4 linked regions of the Notamacropus eugenii genome follow. The protein of the gene in region 2 interacts with the protein of the main gene of each other region in a pairwise test. Links are inferred from orthologs where the notes say so. Each region holds a gene or a part of one and is shown on either strand. Other genes may lie near its edges.

Region 1 (7,609 bases), on a different chromosome or scaffold from region 2:
AACACATCCATATATAAAATATACAACCAAGCAGTAAGTCCCTGCTTTAGAATAGTGACTGATCACTTCTCCCTGGACTCTACAAAAATGACAGAAACCAAGAGCATCAGATTATTTAACAAAGTCCCTTCTGCTATTAGGTTTACTATGCAGAAATATAATTATTGCTGCAATTAGTATTAAGACAGCCCAACAAAAAACAAGAAAAAAAATGCAATGAAAGGGCAACCTAGCCATTGCTCAGCTTCCTTACTCCACCCAGTCTTCTCAAAGGTTGTACGCAGCATCCGCAAATATTATCCAGTTTTTTTTCTTCCAAGGGGAGGGGGATTTAAAAATCGAGGGACGTTCAGAAATTAGAACTCCACTGTTCAAGCATGTATTTGATGAATTTTTCAAAACAGTGCTTTATTTGACATCATGCTCAGCTTCAAATCATTTTTTGTGGGCTACTTACTCCCTTCTTTGATATCCTAAATATTGAAGGATGATTTTAATAAATTAACCAACCCAAATACACAGATTCAATAACTGAGATTTACATGTCCCCTATTTGTGAAATGACAAACTGTAATAATATCACTCATTAAGGATTAAAAACCTAATTAGTATGCTTCAGTCACAAAGATTGGTTAAAATAAAAGGTCAAAGAAAGCTTTCAATGCGGAATCAACCTTATTTCATTCCCTACTGCAACCAAAAAGGGTTGTTCTCTTGATAAAGGATTTGACCTGCAACAACCAAGCCCTGCTGCAGTAGAAAAATTTTACCCCAACGCTACCATAGCAAAAGGAGAGGAATGACATTATTATTGGTATCAAAGGCCCAAGTACGGTCTCCTCCGCCCTCGCCTCAAAAGGAAATGCACAAAACAACCCCACCCCCAAACAAGAATATAATAAAAAAAACCCTGCAGTTATTTTATACTTAATCTTTCCATCATTCTGACGGCAAAGATTTACTTTATGTATATGAAGATCAAAATTACAAAAATATCTTCATTCTCTCCTTATCACCTCTTTAGAATAAAGGGGAGGAGGAACTCTTGGTATTTACATCTCCTCTCCTTAAACGAGAAAACACAAACCAGGCCCTTTTCCCCCAAAGCACAAATCTCTTCCCCTACCAGATTCTAAACTGGCTGCCCACCCCCCAGCTCCAAAGGAAAATTTCCTACCCTCCTCCCAACGAGTTTCTTGCCAAGTCACTAAGGAATGACCGAGTCCCTGATAAAGCAAAGACACCTTCGGCCGCCTCCCCCGGCACCGACGGGGCAGCAGCCCTCCGGGTGGGCTTCACGTTCCAGGGATGCTCTTCTAGTCCCCACCACAACCTGACCTGCGGCCCTTAGGGCCCGCTTCTCACCTGGGAGGGCCGGGGGTGGGGGGATGGGGGGTGGGGAGTAGTCACACAGAGATGCTTTATGTCCCCGAATGGCAGAGGACGCCGGCCCTGAGGGCCACCACCATTTCAGCCCCCCCAGTTTCAGGGAGGGGGCCCCACCAGGTAGAACAAGCACCTCGCCCAATCCGGTCGCAGGCTGCCGCTGGGGGGGGGGGGGGGCTGGGAGACCACCGTCCGCACGGCCCGGGAGGCCTGGAGCGGCGCGGTAGCGCGGGGCCGGGGGCCTCGGGCCGGGGCGAACCCCTCCCCTCGGGGGCCCGGGGACCAGAAACCTGTTCCCCGAGCCTTCCTCCTCTTCCCCCCCCCCCCAGTTTTCCTGCATTTTCCTGCAAAGTCACCGAGGGGGAGCATCTTTTCCTTCCCTCCGCGGCGCGGGCGGGGCCGCCCCCTTCGCCCCCTCCCCCAGCCGCCGGGCCCCGGCCGCCCCCTCCCGCCCCTCCCGGGTCTCTCACCCAACGGCCGCCGCGGCCGCCATTTTGAGAGCGAGGAGAGAAGAAGGAGGAGGCGGCGGGGGGAGGGGAGCAGGAGGGAGGGAGAGGGCAGCCAGGGAGGGAGGCTGGAGAAGAGGAGGAGAGAGGAGGAAGAGGAGAAGGAGGGGGAAGAGGAGGGAGGGGACCGGCGCAGCCACATCGCCCGCGGAGCCCTAGCCCCAACCCGAGCCCCGGCCACAGCCTGCGCCGGCGCCGCCCGAGGACGAGGGGAGGGGGAGGGGGAGAAAGAAACGAGCCCGAGGGCAGGCCCCGGCCGCCGCCTTACCCGAGAGCCCGCCGCCGCCGCCGCCGCCGCCTCGGTGTGGCCTCTTCCGTCCTTCACTCCCATCCACCGGCGGGGGAGGGGAGGAGGGGAGGGAGGAGGGAGGGGAAGGGAGAAGGGAGGGAGGAGGGAAGGGAGGGAGGGGAGGAGGGGGGCTGGCGCGCAGGGCCCGGGCCCGGGGCGGGCTGGCGGGCGTGGGGGGGAGGGGAGCGGGCGCGCGCGCGCGGCTCCTCGGCCGTTCGGGGGCTCGCGCCGCAGTCCGGCCGGCGCTCGCGGCCTTGGCTCCCGCTCCGGCCCGGCTCTGTCGCTCGCACGCGCTCCCCCCTCCTTTCAGCCTCTTTGCCTTCCCTCGGCTCGTCCGTTCTTGTCGTCGGCCTGTTCGCTTTCCTTTCCCCTCCCACCTCCTCGGTTCTACTACCGCCGCTGCCGCCCCCGCCGCCCCCGCCCCGCCGCTCCGGCTCGGTCTGTCACAGGAGCTGCCCCAGCGCCCTGACGTCACCGCGCCGCCGCCGCCCCAGACCGGCCGAGGAGGGAGGGGAAGGAGGAGCCCACGGCGCATGCGTAGGGCCGGCTTGAGGGGAGCTGCCGTCACCCCGGCTCGACGCGCTTCCCGGTTTGCGCGTCACCGAATGGAAGCCGGCCCTCCGCGGCCCCTCCCAGTCCCGCCCTCAGCCCTCGGGCCGAGAGCTGGGCCGGAGCCGCTGCAGTCGCAGCCTCGGGGCCCGGGGCCCTCAGAGGCTCCCCCCTCCCCCACCTGGCCATCATCTTGACTGACCGTGACCGGCTCGTAGCTCTGCAGAGCGCTTTACGTAATGGTCTCCGTAGTGCGGGGGACACCCCGCGGAATAACCGACGTTGAGGGGGCCGGACCGCAGAGACCCGTCATCTCATTGGCGGAGGGAGGTGGGGGGGCGCTCTCCGCCAGGGCAGGTCAGCACCTGCGCCCGCAGGTCAGCGATGAGCCCGGGGGTGGGGGGGGCCTCCCGGGGGGGAGCACTCGAACCCAGCGCCCTCCTGGCGGCCCTTGCCATGCTGCCTCTTACTGACGTCTAGACTGCGCCTTGGAGATTCCAAAGCGCTTCCCGTCCGATTCCCGTTTCAGCCCCCAAAACAGAGGCCAGAGATACTGCAAATGAGAGCCTTGATGTTTGCCCAAAGCTTTGTACAGTAAGGGAATCAGCAGACACATCCAAGGCTAACCAGCACTTCTGCGGCCTCTTCTACCAGCCATGTGAGCGCCAACAGAGAGCTGAGCCAGGCAGAGAAACTGAGGCACACGTAGCCTACAGTGAAATGTGCGATCTGAGGAAGACAGTTTCAGTAAAGCTGAGATTGTACTGGCTGTAGCCTTGGCATCCCCTCCAGCCAGGTATCACTCAGAGCTCAAGGCCTGACTTCTGCGATGCCAAGGCTTCCCTCTTCTTAGTTTTGTCTCCTGCCCTTTCTCTGTTTGAAAAAAAGAAAAAGGGAATGAAGTCACTGGGCTTGGGAGGTTGGGGTGACCTTCTGGACTTAAAGCAGAAAGCTAAGGACCCGACTCTTACTGACTCTAATTTGTGAGCCCAGAGAAACATTCAGGCCCAGAGAAAATACTCCTTTTTTCCCCCGCTGTCACTGCTTCGATTTCTCCTGGCCTCCTTTCTGGATTGAAACAGCATGAAAATGTTTTGCATATCTTCAGATATCATATAAGTGTAAGCAGTTGTCAGGTGAGTTATGTCACATCCTTTCATTTTGGTTATTTTTGTGGTGAAACATTGGTGACAGAGGGGATCCTCTAGAATATCCAACTAACTTGTTCTAGGCAGCTTTTCTTTAGTTGGTGCTAAGGAAATCATATCTGAGATTCATTCTTGAGATACTAATGGCAAGATTTGGCAAATTCCCACGATTAAAGGGTATTTCGTTAAAAGTTGGACTTTGAGCCAGAAATTTCATCCCTGGTTGATAGGATCCTTGGAAAGATGGGTGAAACCTTCCTCCTTCAGGCTTGAATTTGAATGTATTCTTCTATCAGTTCCCATAGAAATCCAGGAACATGTGAAAACAGCAGTTATTTTTTCTTTATGTATACAATGCCTCACCCATAGTAGATAGTTAATAACTTGTTGGTGAATTTTAGTTTGTTGAATGGGATTATTTAATTAAGGTCCTAGTCCCTGAGTGTTTTCTGTCCCCTCAAATATTCAAAAGGAGATCATCTGTCCTGGATAGTACTGGATTAGAAACTCCCAGAGGGCAAACATCCTTTGTTTGATTTTTTTTTTTTAAATCTTTTCACCAACTCCAGCGCCAAGCACATCTGGGTTGCCACAATTTCACCTATCTTTAACCAGAGGACTGTTGTTCTTCCTTTGTTGTTTTTGTTTTTGAAGAGGACCAATGATATCACAGGGTGATGTGTTGACTTGCACATAGATTGGATTTAAGTGGGGTAGAGTTGTGCAAAGTCATCAACCTCAGCCTCTCTTCCAGAGTCATCCAAGTCCAGTGGCAGGACAAAAGTCAGGATGACTGGTGATGGCCTAGGATAAAGTAGATGACCTTGGAATCTTCAATATCTAACCAAGCTCTAAGCTGTCCATTGTGTTTGAGGGTAGGGGGCTAGACATCCCCAGTAACTCTAAGTACAGGTTTGAGGCCTCCACCTGGTTTAGCCTGTCTGCCAAAACAGATTTACCAGGGTGTGGATGATGTGCATGCCATACCTTCTTGGAGCCACGAGTGAGAGATGGGTGAAAAGTGGACACCAAAGGTGGATGAGCAGTTCCGAAAAGAGCTTGAGAAGCCTTCCTACCAGAGGTGCTAAGCCTTCCTGAACACCCCATACACTTCAGAGGGGTAGATGATCTCTGAAAGGACCAATCCAATTCTGTAATTCTCAAATTCTCTATCAGTACAGCTTGACAAAGCAATTCAGTGAAATTCCAGACCCTACTTGACATTGTTACCGATGGACTCAATATGAGTCAATAAGGATTTCTGTAAATTAACATATCCTTTGCTCTAAAAGCCCATCCTTTCTTTCATTTTAACCTTTTAAAATATTTATCATTGCCCAATGCCAAGCTGTTTAATATTTAAACAGCTGAGTAAATCGGATCTACTTTATTTTTTAAATACTTGCTCTAAAACTCAACAATTTTCTCTTGAAAGATCACAGAATTAGTATAAATAAATAATTATGTTTCTAATTGAATAAGGATAACTAGAGTTAGCCAGCCAATCTAACCTGTTTTATTAGACCCAAACCATATCCTTATCCTGTGGTTAGAAGTAATAAAATTGGTACTGGGCAATTATGACCTAAACTAAGAGACAATTTCATTTTCAGAATGCCCCTTTTAAAAGAATTTTAAAGAATTCCATTGAAGGGGAAGAATTCAAACTGTCAGTCCCCTTTTTGGTTTGTGAATTCAGAAACTCAATTTAAAAAATAATTGAGGGACCTTTGTGTATCAGCATATGTGCTACTGTTTGTATTGTGGGTTTATCAGATGCTTGTGGGCACTTTTTGTCATGATGAATAAGATGATGGATGCTTCCTAATGCAATCTCCTCTCCTGTTGAGTATGAAGATTTAAGGGACATCTGTATATGTCCGTAAATTAAAATGTGGAAAGACTTAATACAATAACAGCTACTATATGTATCTTGGGGAAGGAGAAAGGAGCAGACGTCCTGGATTTTAGGGGTTTGGGGAAGCATTAAGGAGAAAGACCCACTTTATTTGCTACAATCTAACAGCTCACCAATCCACTTAGGTTGCAAGCATTTATATTGCCAGCAGACACTTCCAAAATTGAAACCTTTGTTGCAGTTGCTACAGAAAAATTAATGTATGTTCAAAGACTTATGGAAATAGCAAATAAAGTGATTAGTGGAAACAATTTTTAAAAATTATACTGGGACAAAACATTTTCAGAAATGTTTCCCTGAGCAAAATCTGTCATCAGTGAGGAAAGGCCCAGTTGCACAAATTTGAAATGATTTCCTCCCCAGAATTAAATTATCCTGTATTATTTATAGGAGTATATATGTATATAATGGTATATTTACATTTAATAAAATCAGTAGAAAATGGACAAAACTTTGTTTTCAAATATAAAGAGGGTATAAGGAGTGTTGTGGCCATTCTAATGGTAAAGGACACATTTGCAAGAGAGATTCATTCATCTTCAACATATTTAGACCAATTAATAGAGATGGCTGCTTCTCCCTTATGTCAGGTCCAGCCAGACCAGCCACTCTTCCCTTGAGAATCATAGCACTCTGATGTGTCATAAAAATAGAACACAAAGCAATTCAAAGGAAATTAAAAGAGAAAAATTCAACTTGAAAATATATATCATGATGTTTAGATTTTTGAATTTTAATATTTCCCGTGAAAGGAATTTTAAGGACTCAATGGAGTCAAAACATCATTTAAAAACACATAAATCATAAAGAATGTCATGATGCAGATATTCAAGAGTTTTCCCTCTTCAGCAAATAAAAGGATCAAGAATATAAAATTATTTCTAAAAGGGCATATTTTAAAAATAGAAAAAATATTCATCTCTATTAACAAAAATATAAATTAAAGTAATTTTCCCACAAATTGGCAAAAATAACAGTGATGATTCAATATGGATAGGGTTGTGAGTGATCACGTACATTGCTTGTGGAATTGCACATTGGTTTAAAAAAATCTTTTAGGAAAAACTGATGGCATAGGAGAGGTTTTAAAACAACCCTAATAATTCAGATATTGAAGTTTGCCCCCAAAATTGTGGTTATGGAAAAATAAAGATGGGGAAAAGGTAATCTTTTCAAAGATATCTATGGCAGCATTACCATTGTCATTACCAAAAAAATAAAAATCCAATAGGGAAAACACCTAAATATCCAAGAGCTGGGAATGGCTGAATGGTATCTTCTCATAGTACATGCCATATCCAAAAAGTGGCAGAGAAGATATCAAGGGCATGTATGGCCAGAAAGGGAAGTCATATAGCAAAGGTGAGGAATAACAGATTGACTTAAGTGCCAGAAACTACTATGCTACAAAGGAGACCATTGAGTAGATCTCATTTGTGGTTTTGACTGAAAAGGCATATATGGTTATGATGTCTATCAATAGACTATCTACATTAATGAGATCCTAGAGCCATCAAAGCAGATGTGTAGCAATGAAGTGGAACGCTATAATGCAATTAAAAAACAATATGTGTGAGAGAAGGAAGTTTCCTGAGAAGAAAGCTGGCCTGGGAGCCAGAGAGCCAAGTACAAGTCCTGCCTGTTAAACATACTAGCTGTGTGTCCCTGGGCAAGTAAACTTCTCTCAGTGCTCTAGCCAACACCCTTAAGACTAGACTATAGGATGCAGAAAAGGCATGGACTTGCATTTGTAGAATTTCCTTATCCAAGAGTTCTCTACACCAGTAAAATCATAGATCCAGTCCCTGGCCTT
Region 2 (7,325 bases):
TTCCTCACTTGTAAAATGAGGTAAAGAAGGACATGGAAAACCACACTAGTATCTTTGTCAAGAAAACCCAAATGAGTTCACACAGCTAGTAAGTGTCTGTGGTTGGATTTGAACTCAGGAATATGAGTCTTCCTTATCCCAGGCCTAGTGTTCTGTGCACTATGGCACCACCTAATGGCCCATTAGACATGTGCAAATAGTCACATACATTCATATATGTATATGCATATTCATATATGTATATGTGTATATTTTACATGTGTGTATGTGTTTAGAGAAGCAGCTGTTGTCAAGGTTGGGAAGTGTGTGGCACACTGCTTGGAGACTGATCCCACCCCTGTGCCCTCCCCAGTGGCTATGTGCTTCTTGGAAAGTCAGGACACTTCTCAAGACCCAGAGAAGGAGACTCAGGGCAAGGGTTGATCTGCATTGGAAGAGAAAATTTCCTCCTGGGAGATCCCTATACCAAAGCAATTATGCATCAAGTCCAAATAAAAAACACATATCCTCATGTTTACATGTATCCTCCCAGTATTCAATCAACTAACTATTAGGTAGTGAGGTATTACTCTGTGCTAAGTGTGAGGCCACAAATACAAACCAAAAACATTGGTGCCTGCGCTCAAGGGACTTATGCTCTAATGGGGGAAGGTAACACATTAAATGGTACTAAGAAGGGAGGAAGGAATCAAGGTATGATTTTGAAGCCTTCTAAGTCCTAAGGCACTGTGCTAAACTCTGGAGATGTAAAGAATGGCAAAAACGTGGTCCCTGCCCTCAAGAAGCTCCCCCTCTAATTGCTAGGGGCAGGGAGACAACATGCAGGTCCTTAGAAACAGGTTGTATGTTTGTTTTTTGTTTTAAATTTTTGTCTTTCTATCCTTTGCACCTTGTCCAGTTCTTTTTGTGGGTCCTTAATAAATAAATTGGATTGGAGAGGATTATGGAGGCAGAAAGGACAAGGCTTGGCAAATACTTGCTTTGGGGATAGGATGAGGCAGAATGACCTCACTGAGGTTGCAGACCTCACAGACTAGGTATAAGATAATATATATCAATGGACCCTGAATGGACTGGGTGAAATGGGCATTCTTTTTTCCCAGGGTTCTGAAGTGTAAATATAAGTCGATTGAGCTTGGTCCTCTTATTTAGAGGGCCCCCAAATTTCTGCCATTAATAAAAATATGATTTAGTGCCTTCCAGAGCCATAATTTTTGATATACTAACCTGGGTGCCTAAAGGGGTTATTTCAATTCTAAATGAAGTGATTTGTTCTCTCCTTTTTGGTGAGGGCTATTGTGTTTTGTTATATTCCAAATAAAATTAGGAATGGAAAAATATGCTACTGATTCAAGCAAATTGGTCATTGTTCCTCCTTTTAATACAAATTACAAATACCATATAAAATAATTCTGTTTGAACCCCTGCCCCTTCAATTTGTGATGTTATTTTCTCCAAAATAGACACTGATATTTTAACCTTAAATTAGATCTAGATAGGAAATTGACATGGGAGAGAATAAGGAAGGAAAGACAATTGCCTACCTCTTTCTGACATCACTGAGAGCTGTTGCATGTGACATAAATATGTGGGGAAATAGCTTAGAAAAAAAGATATAGATGTAGAGGTCAAAGGAACATTGGTGGTCAGGTTGTCTAACTCCCAGATTTTACAGACAAGAAACTGAGGGATCCTCCCCTCCCCCCAAAATACTTTACTGTAGATATTGTTCCCAGCAAGTTTCTTTGGAATTCCTTCTAAAGTCCCCCAATTCCAAATTTGAAGATCTTTCTCCAAGCAGAAAATACTTTGGACTTGTCTGAAGCTCTGGGTTCTAGAACTGAGCTGCTAGCGATGTGACCTTTGGCAAGTGATTACACCTCAATTCTCACCAAATCCTCTATCATTCTTCCCCTACTGGATTCTAAGCCCCTTCAGGGTAGGGAATGCTTTCATTTTTGTTTTCAAATCTATCAGAGAGTCTGACACACAAAAGACATTTAATACACATTTGTTGAACTAAATCTTTAGGAAAAAATGGAGAGAAGGATGGATTTGTTATCAGTCCCAATTCCTCCACTTCCTAGCTTTGTTACCTTGGAAAAATTGCTTAGTCTTCCTATACCTCAGATACCTCATCTGTAAAACCAGCAATTTGGCTTCAGTGACCTCTCAGGTCCCTATCAGTCCTAGATCTGATTCTATGATCTTACTGTACTTACCTAACTCCCAGGACTCTTGGTACTGTGGGTAGAGATAATATATGTGGAAGCTCTTTGTAAAGAATGTCATCTAACTATAAGTTACTATTAGTATTAATAACAGGTACCAGGCTTAAAGGCAAAACTCAGTCATGTGAATTTTGGTGGCAAGCGAGCTGGTGGATCAATCTTTCAAAATTCAGGGTGCATTATCATTTCTATTAGTCTTTATAAATACCAACATTAAACACAGTACAGTGGGTGCTGAAAATCATTTTAGAATGCCATGAATAAATTGCAAACATTTAAGCTACTGCCCAGACCTTTTTTTTCATTCACTCACTTGCTCATTCAAAAGCTTTACTCTGAAGCTGGTATTCTATCTTATGTACAAGCAAAGCCATTCAGAGCACTTGGCTCGAGTGAGATTGTTTCTAACAAAGGAGAATGGAACAATTTGAAAATTCACAATTCTATTTGGAACCAACATTCCATTTTCGTGTGCCCAGGGCCGTAGGGGAAGCAGCGCTGGGGGCTGGGGGTTAAGGGGAAGTGGCTTCACAAACCGCCCCACAGTATAGCAGCGCAGCGCTGTAAATATTTTGGATGCAGATGAGAAATTGGCAAAAAAACACACTCAGTCTCCCTCCTACACCTTGTATGTTGCGTGCTTCCTGGCAGGCAAACTTTCGCTCTCCATCTGTGTAGGTCAGCAATGAAACGCGGACAAAAATTTAAATCCAGGTTAGAAGCACTAATCAGCCGCTGCTGTCACAGGTACCTGGCGCCTGGATCGTCAGTTGGAAAGGAGAGTTCTCCCTAGTACCGGGCATTTCCCCCGGGGAACTGCAGGCATTGGAGGCCCAGAGGGTGGGGAAAGTGGGGAGGTGGGTGGCAATTTCCATTCTAGGGCTCATCACCCTTCCACCCCCACATCCTTTCTCAGCTTTGGCAAGATGCACGAGTGACCGTGAATAAGGGGCTAGGGGTAGGGAGCTGACCCCCATCCTGTTGCTTATGCAAATTTCAGCTTTGCCCTAGTAAGTGGCCTGGGCGCCGCGGTTGCCTACGCTATTGCTCCTTCTTTTCTTTCTTTCTTTCTTTCTTTCTTTTTTTTTCCTGTGCCGGACGTGTGCGGCCCACTGCTGGAGGCCGATCTCACCCCGGTGCCCTCCCCACTGCTCCATCAGTCCTTATATGCACTGGCTGCCGCGGCGGGCCAGGCTACTCCAGACTGCAAACAACAGTGGGGTTGGGGGATAATGGCCTTTATTTATTATCATAATTTCTTAAAACCATCGGGATGTGGACCCCGACGTAGAAGGCGAAGGCACAATTCGATCCCTGGTGAAGAATCTGTCTTTTTTTGCTGCAACGTTCCCCCCCAACACCGCCACCCCCAGCTCCGCAGCGATAGAATTTCTTCCCTTTTCTCTGACAGCCCCCACCCCCGCGGGTTCGCTGTATGCTCAGGCACGTTGTAGCAGCTCCAGCCCCAAAACAGGCGAACGTGCCGGGGACGTGGAGGTGGTGGTGGTGGAAAGAGGTGAGATGTCCTCCTCTCTGCCTCTCCAGTCCCCAAGAAGGGCTGGTGCAAGAGACTGGGTCAGGAAAAGCTGGGTCTATTGAGCCGGTGGAGGCCACGCCTCTCTCTCTCTCTCTCTCTCTCTCTCTCTCTCTCTCTCTCTCTCTCTCTCTCTCTCTCTCTCTCTCTCTCTCTCTCTCTCTCTCTCTCTCCCTCCCTCCCTCCCTCCCTCTCCCTCCCTCCCTCCCTCCCTCCCTCTCCCTCCCTCTCTCTCTCTCTCTCTCTCTCTCCCCCTTCCTCCCACCCCCCTCCACTCTTTTTTTTACTCCTCCCAGGAAGCTGTGATAGACACTTGTGTGCGGCGCTCTTCCCCCCATCTGAGTGGAGGAGTTGAAGTGTCTCATTATAACAGCCAATGCAGCGGCCATCCACGCACCAGCAGAAAAGCATGTCCCATTTAAATACACCCACGCAGCCTCGACTCCCTTAGCAGCGCTGCGCTGCCGCCTGGGCCGCTCTCAGCACCAGCAGCAGCCCACTCGTGCCTCCTCCTCCTCGCCCTCCTCCCCTTTCCCCTCCTCCTCCTCCTCCTCCTTCTGCTGCTGCTGCTGCTGCTGCCTGGCCGAGGCGGACTGCCTGGCGGCCAGACCTCGGTCCCTCGCTCTCCGCGGCGGCTGCTGCTTGGACTGCTGCGGAAGGTTGCTGGGGGGCACGACCCCCGCCCGCATGAGGGCGGCCAGCCCCTAGAACTAGGAGGCAATTCAGGGGACTGCCAGGGCACCCGGGGCTCGGTTTGCCCGGCAAAGGAGCCAACATGGCGAGCGACTCCCCGGCTCGCAGCCTGGACGAGATCGATCTCTCGGCTCTGAGGGTGAGCTTGGGCGCTCTCGGCGCCTGCCTTCTTTCTCCTCCCCGGGCGGCTGCATCCCACGATCTGGAGGCATCCATCCTTCGTGGACCGCGGCTGGGGGTGGGGGCGCGAGCGGCGCATGGAGGAGACGGTTGTGGGCTCGGGGCTTTAGAGGGACCTGCTGGGGGCTGTTTGCATTGGGAGCTGCTCTAGAGTCACTTGCCTCCAGGCTGGAGATGGATGCGTGCCGGAACGGACGGATGGGTGGATAGACAGACTGGGTTGCCTTTGGTGGTGGGGACTGATGCTTGGAAAGGGAGATGCCCGGGGGTGTGGTGTGGTGTGGTATGGTGTGGTTGGTGTGTGTGTGTGTGTGTGTGTGTGTGTGTGTGTGTGTGTGTGTGTGTGTGTGTGTGTGTAGGAGCAGCTCACGCCGCCGTTTACCTTTCGCACGGGGCTGTGTGTACAACACCCAGTTCGCCATTCCGTTTCTCTGAGTAAGGGCCACTGGCAGCCACCTGCTCCCGGATGCCCACTCCTGGCGGGCATCGGGCAAACGATGGAAGGCTCAGAGCTATTCCCCTTGGGCAAGAATACAATAGTAATCAGTGTTCAAAAAGGCTTCGCCCTCTCAGAGGCAGTCTGCCAGGGGGCTGCTGAACCTTCTGAATTTGGCAGACCGTATCAGGACCAGGGTCCTGATCAATCCGCTCCAGCTCCCAGTTTTCCTAGGGTGTCTTTCTACCTGCAGCCTGACATTAGAACCGAGACCTCCTTGAGTTCCGGGTGTCACCGGGAAGGGAAGGTGGCCCCGAACGGCTTCCAGGCTTCTAGGACGGCTATGCCAGACTTGTCCATACAAACATTTCCCGTCTCCTCGCCCTCCCAGCCTCACTCCCTGTCTGGCTTCCTTTAGGGAGCTCTTAGGGGCTTGCTTGCCCCCCACCCCCACCCAGTCACCTTTATTTATGCCTTTAACTCCGCCTTAGCTCAGGCTGCTGATCTGAGTCCATTGATATTTCAGTTTTGTGACAAGCAAAAGGGAAGATCCAGATCTTCGAGTGTGTGTGTGTGTGTGTGTGTGTGTGTGTGTGTGTGTGTGTGTGTGTGTGTGTGTGACCTGCTATCAGGCCAATTCACCTTTTTGGGAAACTCACTCAGATGCCGATTCTCTGTATTGACCAAGACATCCCTAAGATAGAATCCATTTTGTTGCCGCCGGGTGGTTTTTAACAGCCAAATATCAGAAACCCCGATGCTGGCAGGATGTTTTCTTTTTTCTCTCCCTCCCCCACACCCCAACACTTGAAGCTAAGGGGCTTTATTTTCTTGCCATTTTAATGAAACCCTGCCTACTGGAAAACTGGATGGGGGTGGAGGACTTCAGAGCAGAAGGAGGAGAACATTGGGGGCCGATTTAAGAAATGCTCATTAGCTTTGCATACTACAAAAATAGCATTTCCCTGTGTTTGATGTGTCCAGGGTCGGAGAAACTGAATGGGCAGGTACAGAATCCCAAATACCTATATGTTCTCCCTGGCGAGGGATAAAACCTGGTGCCCAAGGGATGCCAAATCTATTTTTTGAGGGGGGTGTTATTTCTTTATCGCTTTCAGAGCCCGAATTAAACTCCCTCTCTTTTCATATATTTTAGAGAGCTATTACTGTGATGGAGAAAATCTTGGCACATTTTTTTGGAATAACCACTCACTTGAATCATATCTCTCTCTCTCTCTCTCTCTCGCCCCCCCACCCCCTTCCTCTCCCTCCTCCACCACCCCTAACTTTCCCTTCTGATTCTTTTGGTCTAAGGGAGGGGAGAGGAGGGGGGCAGTTACTGACAGGTAGACGTCTGAAGGAGTAGGCATAACATTTGCAGAGATATGACCATTCAGACTTGGGGTGGGGTGTGGGGGAGTGGGTGAAGCTCATTCACCTTTTAACACAAGAAGGTTTTGGGAATCCTTGCCCTGGCACTGATTGCCACATTCAAAAGGGACAATCCCTGGTGACCATCTTGGCACAGCTAAGGAGCTCTGAGGTTGTGAGTGAGTAGCTTTTATCCTGAGGGTTTTTTTCTTTAAAAAATGCAGCTATTCCTATGTCCTACTTTCTGCACCCTTGAGTAGTGTGGCTGTAGGAGAGTGAGTGGTGGCTGCATAGCAGTTCAAGGTGCAGAGAAAATGGGAATTGGGCATCAGGGACTGGAACAATGGAAACCACAAATGCCATTTCCTCTAGGATAGTGATCCCAAGCAGTTCCCTTTGGAGAGAATTTCAAGTTGAGGGGGATGCATGCCTTTCTGTTGGTTCCCATGGAAGGTTTTGTACAGTTGAATCTGAAGGAATACAGAGCTACCTTGCAAGCATCCATGACCAGTGGGTAGGGCTGGTTTGATGCTGTCTCTAGTCACATTCTTCTTTCCTGTGTGTTTCACTTTCTTGCCTGTGTGTTTCAGAATACCTGGTTTGTATCCTGTACTGAAACTGACCAGCAAGCCTGAGGCTCGCTGCTCTGTGTTCCTTCTCTGGCATACTGCCAGGTAAGGGTGGGAGAAAGATGGCAATGGCAAAGCATCAAGGAGGAGAACTGGGAGGAAGGAGGCCTGGTTAGGGAGGAGTCCATGAGAGACACAACTTAAGCCCAGGCAGGATGCCAAGTTGCCCCCAAACTAGGATTATTCCTCTGGGGTCAACAGAGAAAACTGTTGGTGAGGAAGAGGGACAGAAAGACCGAATGACATCTTCT
Region 3 (7,802 bases), on a different chromosome or scaffold from region 2:
TGTATGTGTGTATATATGTATGTGTATATATATGTATGTATAATATATATCTCAAGACCTGCCCTATGAAGTCCACAGCACAGGTAATATTAACCTCATTTTACAGGTAACAAAATTGAGACATAGAGAATCTTGCTCCAGTTCCTCCAGGTGGAGTCCACATAGTGCAACTGAAAGAATAATGGTTTTGAACCTAGAACCCTGGGTCTACTTCTTGTACCTTTGTGACTTTCCACTTACTTCCTCCACTGTCAAGTAGGGGTGCTGGCCTAGACAATATCTAAATTTTGTGATCTCAAATTATTTGAACCCAGGCCTTCTAACTCAGAGTTTATTCCCCCTTTCTTATTATTCCATCCTGAATTTCATGATGTCTCCATAAAATATGTGAAAGATATGAGTCACACACACACACACACACACACACACACACACACTTTTTATAAATGGGAAACTGGAATTCTCTCAGTGAATTGGGACTCTAAAATCCATGTCTTACAATTCCAGCACAGTTGAGTTTCTAGTGAGTTTGGTCAATACCAACAGGCAATGAAAGACCTAGAGAGAAGCATCTATCAGTCACCAGGCTCAGTTTGAAGTGACCTCAGAGGCCATCTACTCAACCTCTCCATTTTACAGATGAGGACAATGAGGCTTTGGGATGTAGCATCATAGGCAGGATCTAAAGCCAAGTCGTCTGACTTCAAAGCCAGGGCTCTTTCCACTGTACCAAACTGCCCCCTGTAAGTCAGAAATACAAAGTACAAAATCCCTCACAAAAAAATAAAAAAATAAAAAAGCTCCCTTAAAGAGGAAAAAAAATTTAAGAGATGATAAAAGTTTAAGGAATCAAATTCCTCCAGCTTTCAAACGTATAGACTCACAAGAGATGGTGAAAAGAATGAGTCTTGGCACTAGAAAGCCCATACTGAGTTCTCTCTCTGCCACTTACTGGAAAGATGAAGTTCAGTATTTCACTTAATCACCTTATGCCTTAGCTTTACTAACTGAAGCAATTAGAAAAATAGTTGTTGGCTATGAGGTCATAACCTTGGTGGGAGTCTCAAGTGATATAACATGTGAAAAAACACTTTGTAAATATGAATGTGCCAAATAAATATGAGCTATTAGTAAGCCAAGCTAAAGTCTACACAGCTGTATCCTAGAACCAGTAGTGAGAATGAACCCACTGGAGATTTAGGGGGTCAGATTCTTCAGTATGAGGTTTTGTAACATAATGGATTCCCCTAAAGTTTCAGGTAATTTTTTTTTGCTCAAAGTTGTGCTGCTTGCAGTTATCCCAGAAATATTTGTATGAAAACATAGTAGCAGCAAAAAAAGGAATTTACAGCAAAATCCTTAATAACTTGTCTGAAAGCCTTCAACATATCAGCAGAGGGATAAAGGGAGCATTGGCCTACTCAACCAAAGCTAGGAACTCATGAGTTCTTGAAATTTCCCTGAAACATTTTGTGCCCTATTTAATCCAACAGTATAGAACCTGGAACTAAAAATCTTGAGTTGAAATTACAACTCTGAGGTTTACCAGCCATGTATTGGGCTTTGGACAAGGTATTATGATACAATAAGCATCAAGAAAATGGACTTGGAGTCAGAGGACCTGTGTCCAAAGGCCTGCCTTAAGTTTGATCTTAGATAAGTCATGTGACTTTTCTAGGCCTTAGTTTTTTGATCCGTAGCAAGGAGATAATAATGCTTATACTACCTATTTAAGTCCTAAAGAATTTAGCTAAAGTGTCACACTAACAACTTATTATTTAAGCATTTAAACATTATTTAATATGTTACTTACACAATGCCACATTTAATCTGTAATCTGGTCATATAACTAATTAACCTTTACACCTAGTCCTTTAATGTTTCAGGACTGCTTCCCTCATCATAGCAGCCCTTTGTGATAAGGTGACGCAAGTATTGTTATTCTCATTTTATAGATGGAGAAACTGAGATTCACATAAATAGTAAATATAAAAAACCAAAATTCTGAGCTCTAGGTTCAGTGTTCTTTCCACAGGACCACACTGATTTCCAGACATCTCAGTGGTTTCCCTTCCCATGAATTGTGGAGCCAAAATCACAGCATCATTTTAGGTAATTTGTCATAAAATAAACGAAGGTCACTTTTTACAGACCACCAACACTGATGCACACCTTCCCCTACTCTACCATCTATTTCAGGTGTCCTATCACCTAGTCTGCTCTCACAAAAGTCTGTGTCCTCCCTCATAGTATCTCCCATCATAACTGAAATTTCCCAGGGCATTGTGGAAGCAATGATATGGCCAGCGGTATATTTTTAGTTTGGAGTTAGAGTTGTGGATAGAACTGTGATTTCATTAGTGGTAAGAATTGCCAGCGAGAAAACTCCCTCTACCAATGGAAGATCATTGTCTGTTCTGTAATTTCTGTAATGGCCTGGGCCCTTGAGAGGTTTAGTAACCTGCTCTGGATCACATATCTAATACGGGTTCAAAGGCAGGGCATGAGCCTCGTTCTTCCTAAATGTGAAGGCTGCTGTCTCCATCTGTTCTGACACAGTGCCTCTCCAGGTTGGTTTGTGAAGGAAGAATGATGTCAGGGAAAGAAAAAATATGCTCCTTGAGGGCAGGGACCACGTCCTAGATAACCTTTACAGCCCCTCCCTGTCCAAATCCATGTTTGTTGTTAATACTGGTAGTATGATCATAGGCAAGGTAATTCATCTCTCTGAGAGCGTCTTTCCATTTTCAAAATGAGGATAATAATAACTGCTCTTTATAGTGCCTCTAAAATGTGAGCTATTCTAATCATTATCTCTACCCCATATCCCATGACTTTGAGGGTAAAACAAAAAATCAATTAATAATATAGTCTATAACAAGGTATTAATGTGACCTTTGCAGTGACCTTCTTGAGTCCCACCTAACTTGGTTAAAGCATTTGTGACTGAAGGTGCTAATAAACAGGGAAGGATCTGGGCGGGGGGAAGCCTGGCATGCTTTTTCAGCAGCCTTCAAATTACTTTGAGTATGCAACTTCATGCATAACCATTTATGTATGGAAGATCTCCTCTACCGTCAGAGCCTTGTCTGATTCTAAAGCTACTACAGGAAGGAAGGAAGGAAATGAGCATTTATTGCAAGTCTACCATGAGCCAGCTGTGCTGTGGGAAGCTAGGTGATAAAATGGATAGAGTGTTGGGCCTGAAGTCAGAAAGACTCATCTTCCTAAATCTAAATCTGACCCCAGACACTTACTGCTGTGTGGTCCTGGGCAAGTCACTTAACCCTGTTTGCCTCAGTTTGCTTATCTATACAATGAGCTGGAGAAGGAAATGGCAAACCACTCCAGTGTCTTTGCCAAGAAAACCCTAAATGAGGCCATGGAGAATTGGTCACAACTGAAAATGACTCAACAACAATAAACAGCAGCTGTGTGTCAGGCACTATGCTAAGCACTTTACAAAAAACATTTTTTGATCTTCCTAACAATCTTTGGAAGTAGATGCTATTACTTCCATTTTCCCATTGAGGAAACTAAGGCAAATGGAGGTTGAATAACATGCCCAGGGTTCCAGAACTAGTAAGTGTTTGAGACCAGATTTAAATTCAGCTCTTCCTGACTACAGGCTCAGAACTCTGTACGCTTAACTATCTCTCTCTAGCATACAAGCACTGTAAGCACCAGTCTAGGCTGTTCCTAGGAAGGAAGACTAAAAGCTAACCTAGGAGGTTAACACTGGTTCCCCTGACCCAATTTTGTAGAGAGTTCATTTCCAGGACCCCTGGAATTTCTTATCAGCTTGTGGGTTAAACATCCCAGATAGAGGCAGGAATCTCAGAACTCTTTTGAGCAGATTAAAATCATTCATGGCCAGTAGAACTAACCATCATTTGATAGGTCCTCTTAATCACTTGATGCAAATAGACAGCACTAATCTCCCTAGGGAAAGGAGTTGCTGAATTTATCCCAGTGTAGACCATCCTGCAAAACCACAGTAGCAGGGTCTTTACTTGGGAAATCCAAAGATTTACTGTGTAGTTCCTAATCACAGGGCAATAGGACTTACATTTGGAAAGGACATTGGAGATTATCTATTCCAGTTGTCATCAACCAAAGGACAAAGAAAGGAACATGTTAGTGATTAAAAGCTGTTGCAAAGAATCAGTAAATCCATAAACACACTAAGCATTTTACTTCCTATTTTTATTTAGCTTCAATAAAATATATAGAAATTCAGTATAACAAATGAATAAAAATAGTTTTTTGTAAGCTTAATAAACATCATATATACATATACAATTTTTCATATCATTAATGTTAATTAAAATACAAATTAATTTTAAAGTACTATGGAATTCAGAAGAGTTTTTGTTATTATATATTTTTAAATCAGTGTAGTACTCTGTGAAATGTTTTGACATTAGCAGAGTATCATAATTGAAAAATTTTGGAATCACTGATGTAATTCAACCTCCTCATTGTACACTTAAGGAAAGTGAGTCCCAGAAATAGTATGTCGTATACAAAAGTTCTATAGCTAATAAGCAGAAAATTTGAACTGATATCCTCTGATTCCAAAACCACTGTCTTTTTACTTTACTGTGTTGCCTACAAAGCTTAGGAGATCTTAGAAACGTAAGTAAGAATATTTCTACGCCTAATGGCAGTTGGTGGGCTATAGAGCCTGCTAGTTAACAGATTTAGAGACAATGATATTAATATTCTATTCCTATTTATACTCAAGTAAACTAAAGAGATGCTATATGTTGTTTTCCATGTTTTACAGATGGATAAACTGAGGCACAGGGAGATTAAGTGACTCCCCCACGGTCATACAGCCGGAGAGGACTAGGATTAGACCTCAGAGCTCCTGATCCCCAGACCTGTGTCTTTCCCATTGAGCCACCACGCTGCCTCCCTACCTAAGAGAAAATACTTTCTGTAAGGTAAATGGTGGTCTCTTCTTTATGTTTGGACATATGGAGTGCCTGAAAACATACACACACACACACACACACACACACACACACACATATATATATATATACATAGTAAAGTAATATGACCTATAAGTGCATACTCAGTTCTAAGTAACAGAAGTAGGAGTTTTTACCTTTTTTTCCTATTTGTTTCCAAATAAGGTCTGGTTTGGGTGATTTTTAAAATATTTGTAACTTATCATTTGAGCCAGTGAACATTCAATTTTTCTGAAACAGACTTGAAGGCCAAATAAAACTTACCTCACTAAATCCATAATCCTCTGATTCCAAGAAAAGCTCTACCTTCTTATTTAACTTCTAACCTATGAGTTAGAAGGGGAGCTTTGTCACCTCAGGGAAAAAAAGGTACAGTCACTGGAGGCAGCATATGGTGTAATAACAAAAGGTCCAGAGGATGCAGGTTTAAATCCTTGTTATGCTACTTAACTTGGAACTTTGGACTATTCACTTAACATTTCTGAACATCAGAGATTTTGACTATCTAAACAATTATGGTCATGATACATGTGTTACAGAAACAAAGAAGACATAATAAACAGGGAAACATTTAAATATGAAAAATAAGCAGGTATATTTGTGTGCATGGGTGGCCAGAGTTATACACAGGTGTGCATATGAAGCAACACATAAAGAAAGTTAGGAATCACCTAATCCAATCTCCTCACTTTACAAGGATGAAACTGAGGCAGAGAGGGAAGTAATTTGTCCATGGTTTCATAGATAGTAAGTGACAGAGCCAGGGGAGGAACCCAGCTCCCTGATCCCCATCCTTTGCTGTATGAACTATGCTATGCTGAGAATCAATCTCCTCTACACAAATTCAACCATCTTCAAGAAAGAGATAGGTGGGGGGCTGGAGGGGCAGGGGGAACATTAATGGTATGGTATAGAGTGGTACTAAAGCAGCCAGACAAAATTCTAAATAGAACATCTGCTTGCTGCTCTGTCCTTTCCCTTCGCCAGCATATAGGGAAACAGTTCCTGATCTGGTCAATCATGAAACCTTTCAACATTGTGATCCTGTCGCCTGCCTCCTCCTTCTGTGACCTACTCTCAACCTCAATTCTCCCCCATTCCTCAGCTCAGAAAGCACCTCTGTCATCAGACCTTTCATGCTCCCATATTTATTAGCTTCTCCCCACCACCATCAATTCCTCTGTATTTATTTTGTATATGTGCACATACTATCTCTCTCTATAGAATATAAACTCCCTAAGGGAAGGAATTGTTTCATATATATCTTAGTATAAAAGCACAGTGCTAGGCACCTGGGATTTAATAAATTCTTGTTTCTTAATTGATCAAAATGAAAAAAGAATCTGATATCAATTATTTACCCTTTGCAGATAACTGACTTATTATACCTTGGTCTTGAACTCATTCACACTGTTATACTATCCCTACTATCATTCACATTTTAATTTTCCTATGTAAGAGAATAGTGGGGAAATATAGAGAGCTAGAGGAGTCCATGAAATCATCCTAGGTATATTCAGAAGCTGGAGGTATTGAAAACACAGTCTTCCTGCTCCCTTATAGGAGATATGTTGGAATGGGCCAGTTTTTTCTCCTGCAGGCCTAAAAGAGCTGCAGAAAATAGTAAATGGCTTTGAAGGAGTTGTATAGCTAAGGATCGATAAATAGTAGAGTTCAGCAAACACTGTCATTAGCAACCAGCAGTCAAATCCAGGGGAAAGCAGAAATACATATCCACAGGACTATTTCTTCCCATGGGAAGAAGAACCCATGACCTTCTGTCACTTTCTTCAAGTTCCTGCTGCCAACCTGGCCCTCACATCCAGCTGTCAGCAGTCCCCTTCCCTGTCACCATGGTCCTCTTCCCAGCCTAATGACATTTCCCAACTGATAAATCAAAGCATAGAATCACAGAACTTTCAGGGCAGGAAAGGATATTAAGGATCATCTAATTCCTCATTTCTAGTCCAAATTTCCTTATGAGGCCCAGGGAGGAAGAAAGATTCCTCCAAGGGAGTAGCAAGTTGTTGTCAAAAGACCACTGAATTTGCAAATAGATGATCTGGTTTTGAATAATATTCCTGCTACTTACAGTCAATAATCCATTGGGCAAGTCACTTCCTTCTCCCGGGCTTCATGTCCTTTTCTGTTAAGTGAGAGAGTTGAATGAAATGGTCTCTACAGTCCCTTTCAGTTCTAAAATCTAAGTTTACATGGCTAGCAAATAGAGAAGGCAGGACTGGAATTCAGGTCTTCTGACTCTTTTTAAGCCCTGCCCTCCCCTTCTTTTGTCCTTCAATGGGAGTTGTTTCCTGGTACATTTGACTTGGTTATTTTTAGTTAATGTCGAATTATCTTTTTGTACCACAACTTAGTTTTACCTGATATACAGGAATGCATTCCTCAGTTTCTTATATTATTTCTTCCTCTGAGAACAACCTTGTCCCTCTAGGCCTTAATTTCCTCCTCTGTAAAAATAGAGACGTAGGCTCCTGGAGTTAATAGGAAGCCACTGGAATTAATAAACTAGCAGGGATGTGACATGATGAGAATCATGTTTTAAGAAAATCACTTTAGTGGCTAAGTGGAAAATGAATTGGAGTGAGGAGAGACTTGAAGTAGGCAGGTCCAGCAGAAGGCTAATGCAGAAATCAAGGCATAAGGTAATGAGGATCTGCACTAGAGTGGTAGCAGTCAGAAGAGAGAAGGGGGCGTGTTTGAGAGATGTTGCCAAGGTGAAGCCAACAGACCTTGGCAGCAGCTCAGATATGGGGAGTGAGAGAAAGTGAGTCTAGGATGACTCACTCTTAGATTGCAAGGCTG
Region 4 (7,099 bases), on a different chromosome or scaffold from region 2:
GAGAACTCCCTCCTCACTGTCCACTGACCCAGTCACTCACACATTGGCAGAACTCCCGGTATCGACCTTGGGTTATGGAGGGACTCTCCCGTCGCCACACCTTCCCAATGTGATAGCGTTTCATCTTCTTTATCTTATTCATGGCCAAGTAACGAGCAAAAGGGACCTCACAAGAAATGATTAAGGAAAAAGCACTCTCCCTTCCAGAACTGGTAACCAACTGCATCTACACAAATCAGATACTAGAGAAATTCCTATCTCTGCAGTAGATTCCAACATCATCTTGTCAAACTGAAAATTCAGGGAAAGGGAAACAAGGATCTAAGTGGTTTAAGACCCCTGGGATCCTTCCTTCCTATGCACCTCAATCCTTAATTCTCCCAGATTATTTAAGTTTGAAAGCCTGATTTTCACCATTACCTTCAGTCCTTACTTTACTGTGGACATGCTTCCTTGAGCCATCTAACATAAAACAGAAATCAGAGCTCCAGATATGACTATGACATCTACAATTCCCTCCCTTGACTTGGGAAAGGACAGTCTGGGATAAAGTAAAACAGTTCTTAGAAGGATACTGTGAGGTCATATCGAAGAGCCAGGAGCTCCCCACCCTGATCCTTCAGGTCATAGATGAGTCTGGAGTCCTCTCCATACTTCTCTGTTAGCACTTCCTGGACAAACACAAATCTATAGCTTAAAAAATATGGTTTGGGATACTGGAGGCTAAGAAAGGAAGAATTTCAATACTACTCCTCCCTCCCCCGCTTTTTCTTTCTGTCACCTTTAGTTCAAATGCTGGAGTGTCTAGCCCTTTAGCTCCATGGCGCTTGAAGCAGCTGATGATAGCATTAAGGATTTTCTCTCGAATAGCCATCTGTTGAGGGCTAAGATCTCTGGTACCCTATGAGCCAAAAGCAACCAGAATAAAGGGAAGAAGGTGAAAAGTTTAAAAACAAATTGTACAAATTTGTAGGAAATTTCCCTGCAGGAAACAGGGAAGGATGAATAGACCTTACAACAATGGTTTATACTTTTAAAGCACTTTTAAGGTTTGTAATGCACTTTACACACTCTCTTCTCACAATAACCCTATGAGGTAAGTACTGCTATCATCCCCATTTTACAAATGAAGAAACTGAGAAGTGAAGTATCCTGAGAAAAGTTACATAGTTAGTAAATGACTGACGTAGGATTCAACCCAGCTCTTTCTGACTCCAAGTGCAATCTATCCACCATATGATACGCTAATTCACTGCAAGGTCCCACCTCAGGTAAGGGCAGACTGCTCTTCCCAAGCACCCAGGATACTGGAAAAGGAGACCAAAAAGGATGAGAGAAGAGGATTACCTTGGGAGTCTTGATAACAAAATTGGATTTCTCTTTATCTATTTCCGACTGAATCTTCAACCTGGCCTCTGCAAACTGAAAGGAAATGATTATGGCACGCTAAGCAAGAGATACTTATCTCTGACCCCCAGAATTTCTAGTCTTCCAGTTACAAGAAGAAAGTCCTACAGGCTCCACACTTGTGCCCGAATTGTGTTCATAAAGGATTTTGAATGAAGTCAGATCTTTTTCCCAGTGGCTCTCATTGTATTGATATCTCCATCCCACCATACAGCATGATTTACTCTCATTCAGTCAAACTCAGCTAGTCAATTCTACTCAAGACTTTTTGCTAACTGACACCCAAGGAAACTTAAGACCCAGAAACAAACAAGAACTTACAAAAAAAATAAATTTATGGCAAGACCAGAACCTAAAAAGACTCTAATTCTACATTCAAAATATAGTAATAAAAATGGCAGATCAGAAAGGTGACTCCCTACAAAAGGGCTATGGCCCTTTGGATCTAGATGGGTTCTTACAGAAAGTTGCTTTAAAATAAAGATACAAAAATAAACCAGATTATGATACAAGAATAATTTATTAGATTTTTATTTGTTAGCTTTAGATTATTAACTCCTCTACTGAGGCAGCTGGTGGCCCAGTGGCTAGAACACTGGGCTTACAGTCTATAAGACTTGAGTTCAAATCTGGACTCAGGCACTTACTAGCTGTGTGTCATCCTAGGAAAGTCACAATCTATTTGCCTCAGCTTCCTCAAATGTAAGATAGGAATAATAACAGCACCTACCTCTCAGGGATGCTGGGAATCAAATGAGATATTTGTAAAAAAGTGTTTAGAATAGTGCCTACCTAGCACATAGGAGGTGCTATATAAAGGCTTATTCCCTTCCATCTCCCCACCCCCCTCAAAGAAAAGGATGAAAGATTTGGTGCTGGAAGGGACCTTAAAGACCATCTAACTCATTTTAAATACAGATAAGGAAACTGAATTCTAGAAAGTTTTACTTAGCTTACCCAAGGTCATACAAGGAATTAGTGACAATTCAGATTTAAACTCAAGTCCTCTGAATCCAAATTCAACATAATTTTCTCTGCATCACAATATTAGACTGTAAATTCTTCAAGGGAAGGAACCCTATCATTTTTTTTGGCTCTATGTGTAAAAAAATGCAATTGAATGAAAAAATACTAGATTATAGCAGGCTATACAATAAGACTTTTTGGAAACCTGAGAAAACACAGAGTGGTACCTCAAGATAGTCCTATTTAATAACTGGGTGATTGATCATTTAATTTAAATCATTTAATTTCTCAGGGCAGCAATGTATTCATCTCTAACAATGATTACAGTAATAATTCACTTTTCTATAATTCTTTAACGTCTGCAATGTGTTTTCCAGACACCTGTAAAGTAAGGAGTGTGCAAGTATTATCCCTATTTTTAAAATGAGAAAACAGAAATTTAGAGAGGTTAAGCTTTCTAAATTTTAGGACCATAAAATCTCCAAAGAAACCATTATTACCTGCTTTGGCCCTTCATCACAAGGACCATGGGACCTTTCTATCTGATTTGCAATGAAAACATTCTGTATATGTGGTTTCCTCTACTAGAGGGTGAGCTTTTTGAGAACAGGGACTGCACAGCTTTTCTATTTGTATTCTCAGTGCTTAGCCCAGTGTTTTGAATTTAGTATGTGTTCATTCGGTACTAGAAAGGGCCTCAGAAGCCAATTATCTCAACCTGTACCTAAACAGGGATCCCCTCCATAATATGACAAACAAGACTTGCGTGAAGTCTTCATTCAAGTGAGGATTTCAAAGATTCCCACGGATGATTCCGCTGACAGTCCCGAGGCTCTCTGTACCATGAGTCTGAACAAAACGTATTGAAATAAAGGGATAAATTGACATCGCAGACTGTGGGGCTCCGTCACAAACACTAGGGGGCGAAGCACCGCGGTTCGTTTGCTCCAGATCCAAAGGCAGTTCTGCCCAACCAACCCCTCTGCCGCTGAGGGCCCACTTAGTTTAAACCTTCGCTTTACCGAAGAGGAAACTAAGGTCTTTAAAATAAATCAAGCGTTTTTAAATCTACTCATAAGGTAGGGTACACATTCAGAAGCTGGAGTCCTTGCTTTGAGCGGGCTCAACCACACAGGGGTAGAATCAGGCCGGGAACAGCTGGCGAGCCTGCCGGGGACCCCGACGGTTCTTCCCTTCCAACCCAAACTGGGGCCATATCGACCGATAAGCTGGGACAGTAGAGAAGCCAAGGAGCGCCCAGAGAGAAAGGGGGGAAGGCAGAACGTACCTCCCGCGCTGGAGGCTGCCCCAAGCCTCCTTGCACCCGGCGGAAAAGCAGCGTGGCCCCGGCGCAGGGGGCGCGGGGAGGTCGCAGCAACTGGAGGGCCAGTGCGGCCCAGGCCTCCCGAGACCAGGGTCCGAGGCGCTGCATGGCCCGGGGAGGGGGCTTCTCTTCCTGCGGTTCTGGGGTTCGTGCACACCCGCAGAGGGCTGGACACGGGGGGAAGGGGGAGGGAGGACTGGGGCAGAGAAGGCGCTTGGGCTGGGTCCAGGGAGTGAGAACGGGCTGGTCACCAGGTTAGGGAGGGGGAAACTGAGGCAAAGGGTGCCGGATGTTCCCATGCATCAAACCCGCCAAGGGGCAGGCAGGCTGCCAGAGCGGAGCGTCTCGTGGGAAAGGGTAGGGGATGGGCCGCTCTGGCCTCCAGACTTCCGCTCTTCCGGTTCAGGCGCCCGCCGGCCGGAAGCTGCCTCTGGGCGCGGTTCGCCGGCGGAGCTCTGGGGCCGCAGTCAGTGACAGCCGCGGCCGTTGCAAGGATGGCGGATCGAGCGGCGCTGGAGGAGGCTGTGAGGCTCCAGGGCGAGAGAGTGCGGAATCTCAAGCAGCAGAAGGCGGGCGCCGAGCTGGTGAGGGCCCCGAGAGGGCCGGATCGGGGCCCGGGGTGGACGGAGCTCTGGCTCAGGGGTCCGGTATGGAAGGAGGAAAGGGGCTGGGCGAGGGCCTTGACAGGGACGAGACTCGGGTCCAGAAGGCGACTCCCCCGCCGGCCTCGTTCCGATCCTTTGAGGAGCTCCACGTTCTTTCTTTGGCTTTAGCGTCACAGCGCCTGGGAGACTGCCGGTGCTTTGAATCCCATTGTATAGATGAGGAAACGGAGGTATGGAGGGAAAGTGACTGGCCTACGGTCTCACAGCTTGCTCTGAGTCAGAGGCCTGGAGGAGGGCCCCGGCTAGGGACCACATCCTTCCAAACTCCCGTGTTTATTGAGGCCTTTCCTTCGCAGATCGAGGAGGAGGTTTCCAAGCTCCTGAAGTTGAAGGCAGAGCTGGGCCCTGATGAAGGGAAACAGAAGTTTGTGCTTAAAACTCCAAAGGTAAATGTGTTTTTAGAGAAGCCTTTCCGAGGGTGTTTGATGAGCCTCACTGCATTGTCAGTTCGGTTTATTTTTATATATTGTGTTTTTTTCTTGGTTATATTTTGAGTTCCAAATCCTTTCTTTCTCCCTCTCGGCTCCCACTAGAGAAGACCAACATCTCTCACATACACACACACATGAGTGTGTGGTCAGTTCACTTTAACAAGTTCAAGACACTAATAGATACCGAAGATACAAAGGTGGCAATATTTAGACCCTACCTTCAATTAGACCCTACCTTCAAAAATTTAGTGACAGAAGCCCCAAAAGAAAATTAAATAAGTTCAAGAGGAGAGGTCTAGTCACGGTGCCACTACAGACTTAAAAACATGGCTTTCTCTTGGGAGGAAGAAGTGTTTAGCGTGTTTCGGAAAACAGACACTTTTGGGCATTCAGCTGGAATTGAGTTGTACCTGTGCGTTCTGTTTTTGTCAAGATAGGCAGGATTTTAGTCATCTCAACCTTTGGGAGAAATAACACTACTGCAGATTCTTAAGAACAGCAGCAACTCTTGTCTGTTGAAATATCTGCTTTTTTTTTCCCCACACTTCCCAATTAGTTGTTATAGAAATAAAATGTAGATTATCTTTAGGGATTCCATAGTTAATCAATTTTAAAAAATTTTTTATATTAAGACAGTTAACTTAAAAATCAACCAACCAAATATCCCTCTCCAAGCACAACTCTAATGCCAGAAGTTAAAAGCCTTCTTTTATTTAGATGATAGCTATCCTACCTAACCCCCTTCAGTCCATGCAGATTTGGCTTGGTGGTTAAAAGGAAATTAAATGCAATTCTGTTCCATTATAATTGAGATTATAAATGGAATACTTCTGAAATACCAACTCCTCCCGCTTTCTTATTACTGAGTTGCTTGTTTGCTTGCTTTTTTTCTCCTTTGATTATTTTGACTACTAGGGCACCAGGGATTACAGCCCTAAGCAGATGGCTGTTCGAGAGAAGGTTTTTGATGTGATCATCAGCTGCTTCAAGCGCCATGGTGCCGAAGTAATAGATACCCCTGTGTTTGAATTGAAGGTGAGGGCCAAGGCCAAGGGAGAAGCGTTTGGCAAAGAGATGGGGAGGAATGTAGAGCAGATACACAAGTCGATTAGATACCAATGGGATATAGTCATGAGGGATCAACTATTAAGATGGGTGTAGACAAGCCCAGCCCTATTCCTGATGTACAGGAACTTGATTGATGTTTAAAAGTAGGAACCAACATAATTTTCCCACATTGATTTCTGTGGCTGTGGTTCCTGTTTTGGATTGATGTTTTTATTGGGGGGTAGTTGCAACCATAAATATTCTTGAAGTCCTCCAACAGAACACCCTACAGGGCAGTTGATTGTTTGCACCTCTTATGTTATTAGGGATATGCAATTAGGCATCTTTATCCAGGGTTAGGCACAGCCAATGAAATAATCATATATTTTCATCTTTTCCTTCCAGGAAACACTAACTGGAAAGTATGGGGAGGACTCTAAGCTCATCTATGACCTAAAAGATCAGGGTGGTGAGCTGTTGGCTCTTCGTTATGACCTCACCGTATCCTTTCAAAGTGAGCTCTAGGATGCTGTCGTTTAGACTGGACTTTAATTGACAGGAGGTGATGGAATCCTCAGATTCAGAGAACATTGGACATGGATAAGAAGAAATTCTTGAATAAGTGATCCAAAGAATCAGTTGGAGAACGAGTTAGATGAAGTCCCTCTCTAAAACAGAGATGCAAATTCTAATTAGCTGGGCCCACCCCTAGGAAGACCATTCAAGAACTTAATATAGTGCCAGGGCTCACATCTGAATCCATTATAAATTGCCTGATTCTGGAAAACCATTCTTTGCCTGTCTTGAAGACTGTTTAGACCATTGAGTAGATCTTCAGTAAAGAATGATGTTCTGTTTTAATTGTTCCAGAAAAGCAGTCATAATATGGGTCCGGTGGGCACTAAGCATAGTGCAGGGTTTCTTCCATATTAGTATTTCTGCAGTGTCAGGTGTCGTCCCTTTGAGTATTCCAAGGTTCCGATAACTCTTGCTAGGGTAATCCAATTGCACAAGGAGCCTGGGGAGAGTGTGGCCACTTTGTTTTCAGATAGCTTCTTCTGGTGTAATTGTAATTGTTACTCTTTTTCTTAGGAATCCTGAGGGTCTTCCCCTCCCAGTTTGATTTTTTTTTTATTATGTCATCATCTTGATGACATGGTACTCTTCGAGAACGAAGGACAAACACAAACCTTGAGTGAGTAGCAGCTCCTCTGCTCTCCTCTCCTCTGTGTTCTGCCCAGAGGAAAGTAAACTCTGTG

What was found.
Region 1: the proteins of TNIK (region 2) and PAFAH1B1 interact in a two-hybrid assay, tested with the Homo sapiens proteins (2 studies listed by BioGRID and IntAct). The link is inferred for Notamacropus eugenii from reciprocal best matches to the Homo sapiens genes TNIK and PAFAH1B1.
Region 3: the proteins of TNIK (region 2) and MYT1L interact in a two-hybrid assay, tested with the Homo sapiens proteins (2 studies listed by IntAct). The link is inferred for Notamacropus eugenii from reciprocal best matches to the Homo sapiens genes TNIK and MYT1L.
Region 4: the proteins of TNIK (region 2) and HARS1 interact in a two-hybrid assay, tested with the Homo sapiens proteins (2 studies listed by BioGRID and IntAct). The link is inferred for Notamacropus eugenii from reciprocal best matches to the Homo sapiens genes TNIK and HARS1.

What each region holds. Positions count from the first base shown.
Region 1 is NC_092873.1:40,605,159-40,612,767, reverse strand, and holds the start of PAFAH1B1 (platelet-activating factor acetylhydrolase IB subunit beta), read right to left. Parts: upstream 3,021-7,609; 5' UTR 2,933-3,020; exon of another isoform or gene 2,928-2,932; coding exon of another isoform or gene 2,324-2,927; exon of another isoform or gene 2,161-2,323; intron 2,074-2,160; exon of another isoform or gene 1,857-2,073; intron 1,848-1,856; coding exon of another isoform or gene 1,417-1,847; intron 1-1,416. Other genes in the region: uncharacterized protein, read left to right, coding at 1,417-1,847, 2,324-2,927. UniProt on the Homo sapiens protein: Regulatory subunit (beta subunit) of the cytosolic type I platelet-activating factor (PAF) acetylhydrolase (PAF-AH (I)), an enzyme that catalyzes the hydrolyze of the acetyl group at the sn-2 position of PAF and its analogs and participates in PAF inactivation.
Region 2 is NC_092877.1:352,749,558-352,756,882, forward strand, and holds the start of TNIK (TRAF2 and NCK-interacting protein kinase), read left to right. Parts: upstream 1-4,320; 5' UTR 4,321-4,540; coding exon 4,541-4,597; intron 4,598-7,325. UniProt on the Homo sapiens protein: Serine/threonine kinase that acts as an essential activator of the Wnt signaling pathway. Recruited to promoters of Wnt target genes and required to activate their expression. May act by phosphorylating TCF4/TCF7L2.
Region 3 is NC_092872.1:560,946,175-560,953,976, forward strand, and holds the start of MYT1L (myelin transcription factor 1-like protein), read left to right. Parts: upstream 1-4,789; 5' UTR 4,790-4,949; intron 4,950-7,802. UniProt on the Homo sapiens protein: Transcription factor that plays a key role in neuronal differentiation by specifically repressing expression of non-neuronal genes during neuron differentiation.
Region 4 is NC_092872.1:368,091,570-368,098,668, reverse strand, and holds the start of HARS1 (histidine--tRNA ligase, cytoplasmic), read left to right. Parts: upstream 1-4,096; 5' UTR 4,097-4,191; coding exon of another isoform or gene 4,192-4,281; 5' UTR 4,282-4,346; coding exon 4,347-4,532; intron 4,533-4,658; coding exon 4,659-4,748; intron 4,749-5,708; coding exon 5,709-5,828; intron 5,829-6,245; coding exon 6,246-6,341; intron 6,342-7,099. Other genes in the region: histidine--tRNA ligase, mitochondrial-like, read right to left, coding at 41-166, 576-671, 782-901, 1,348-1,422, 3,662-3,805. UniProt on the Homo sapiens protein: Catalyzes the ATP-dependent ligation of histidine to the 3'-end of its cognate tRNA, via the formation of an aminoacyl-adenylate intermediate (His-AMP). Plays a role in axon guidance.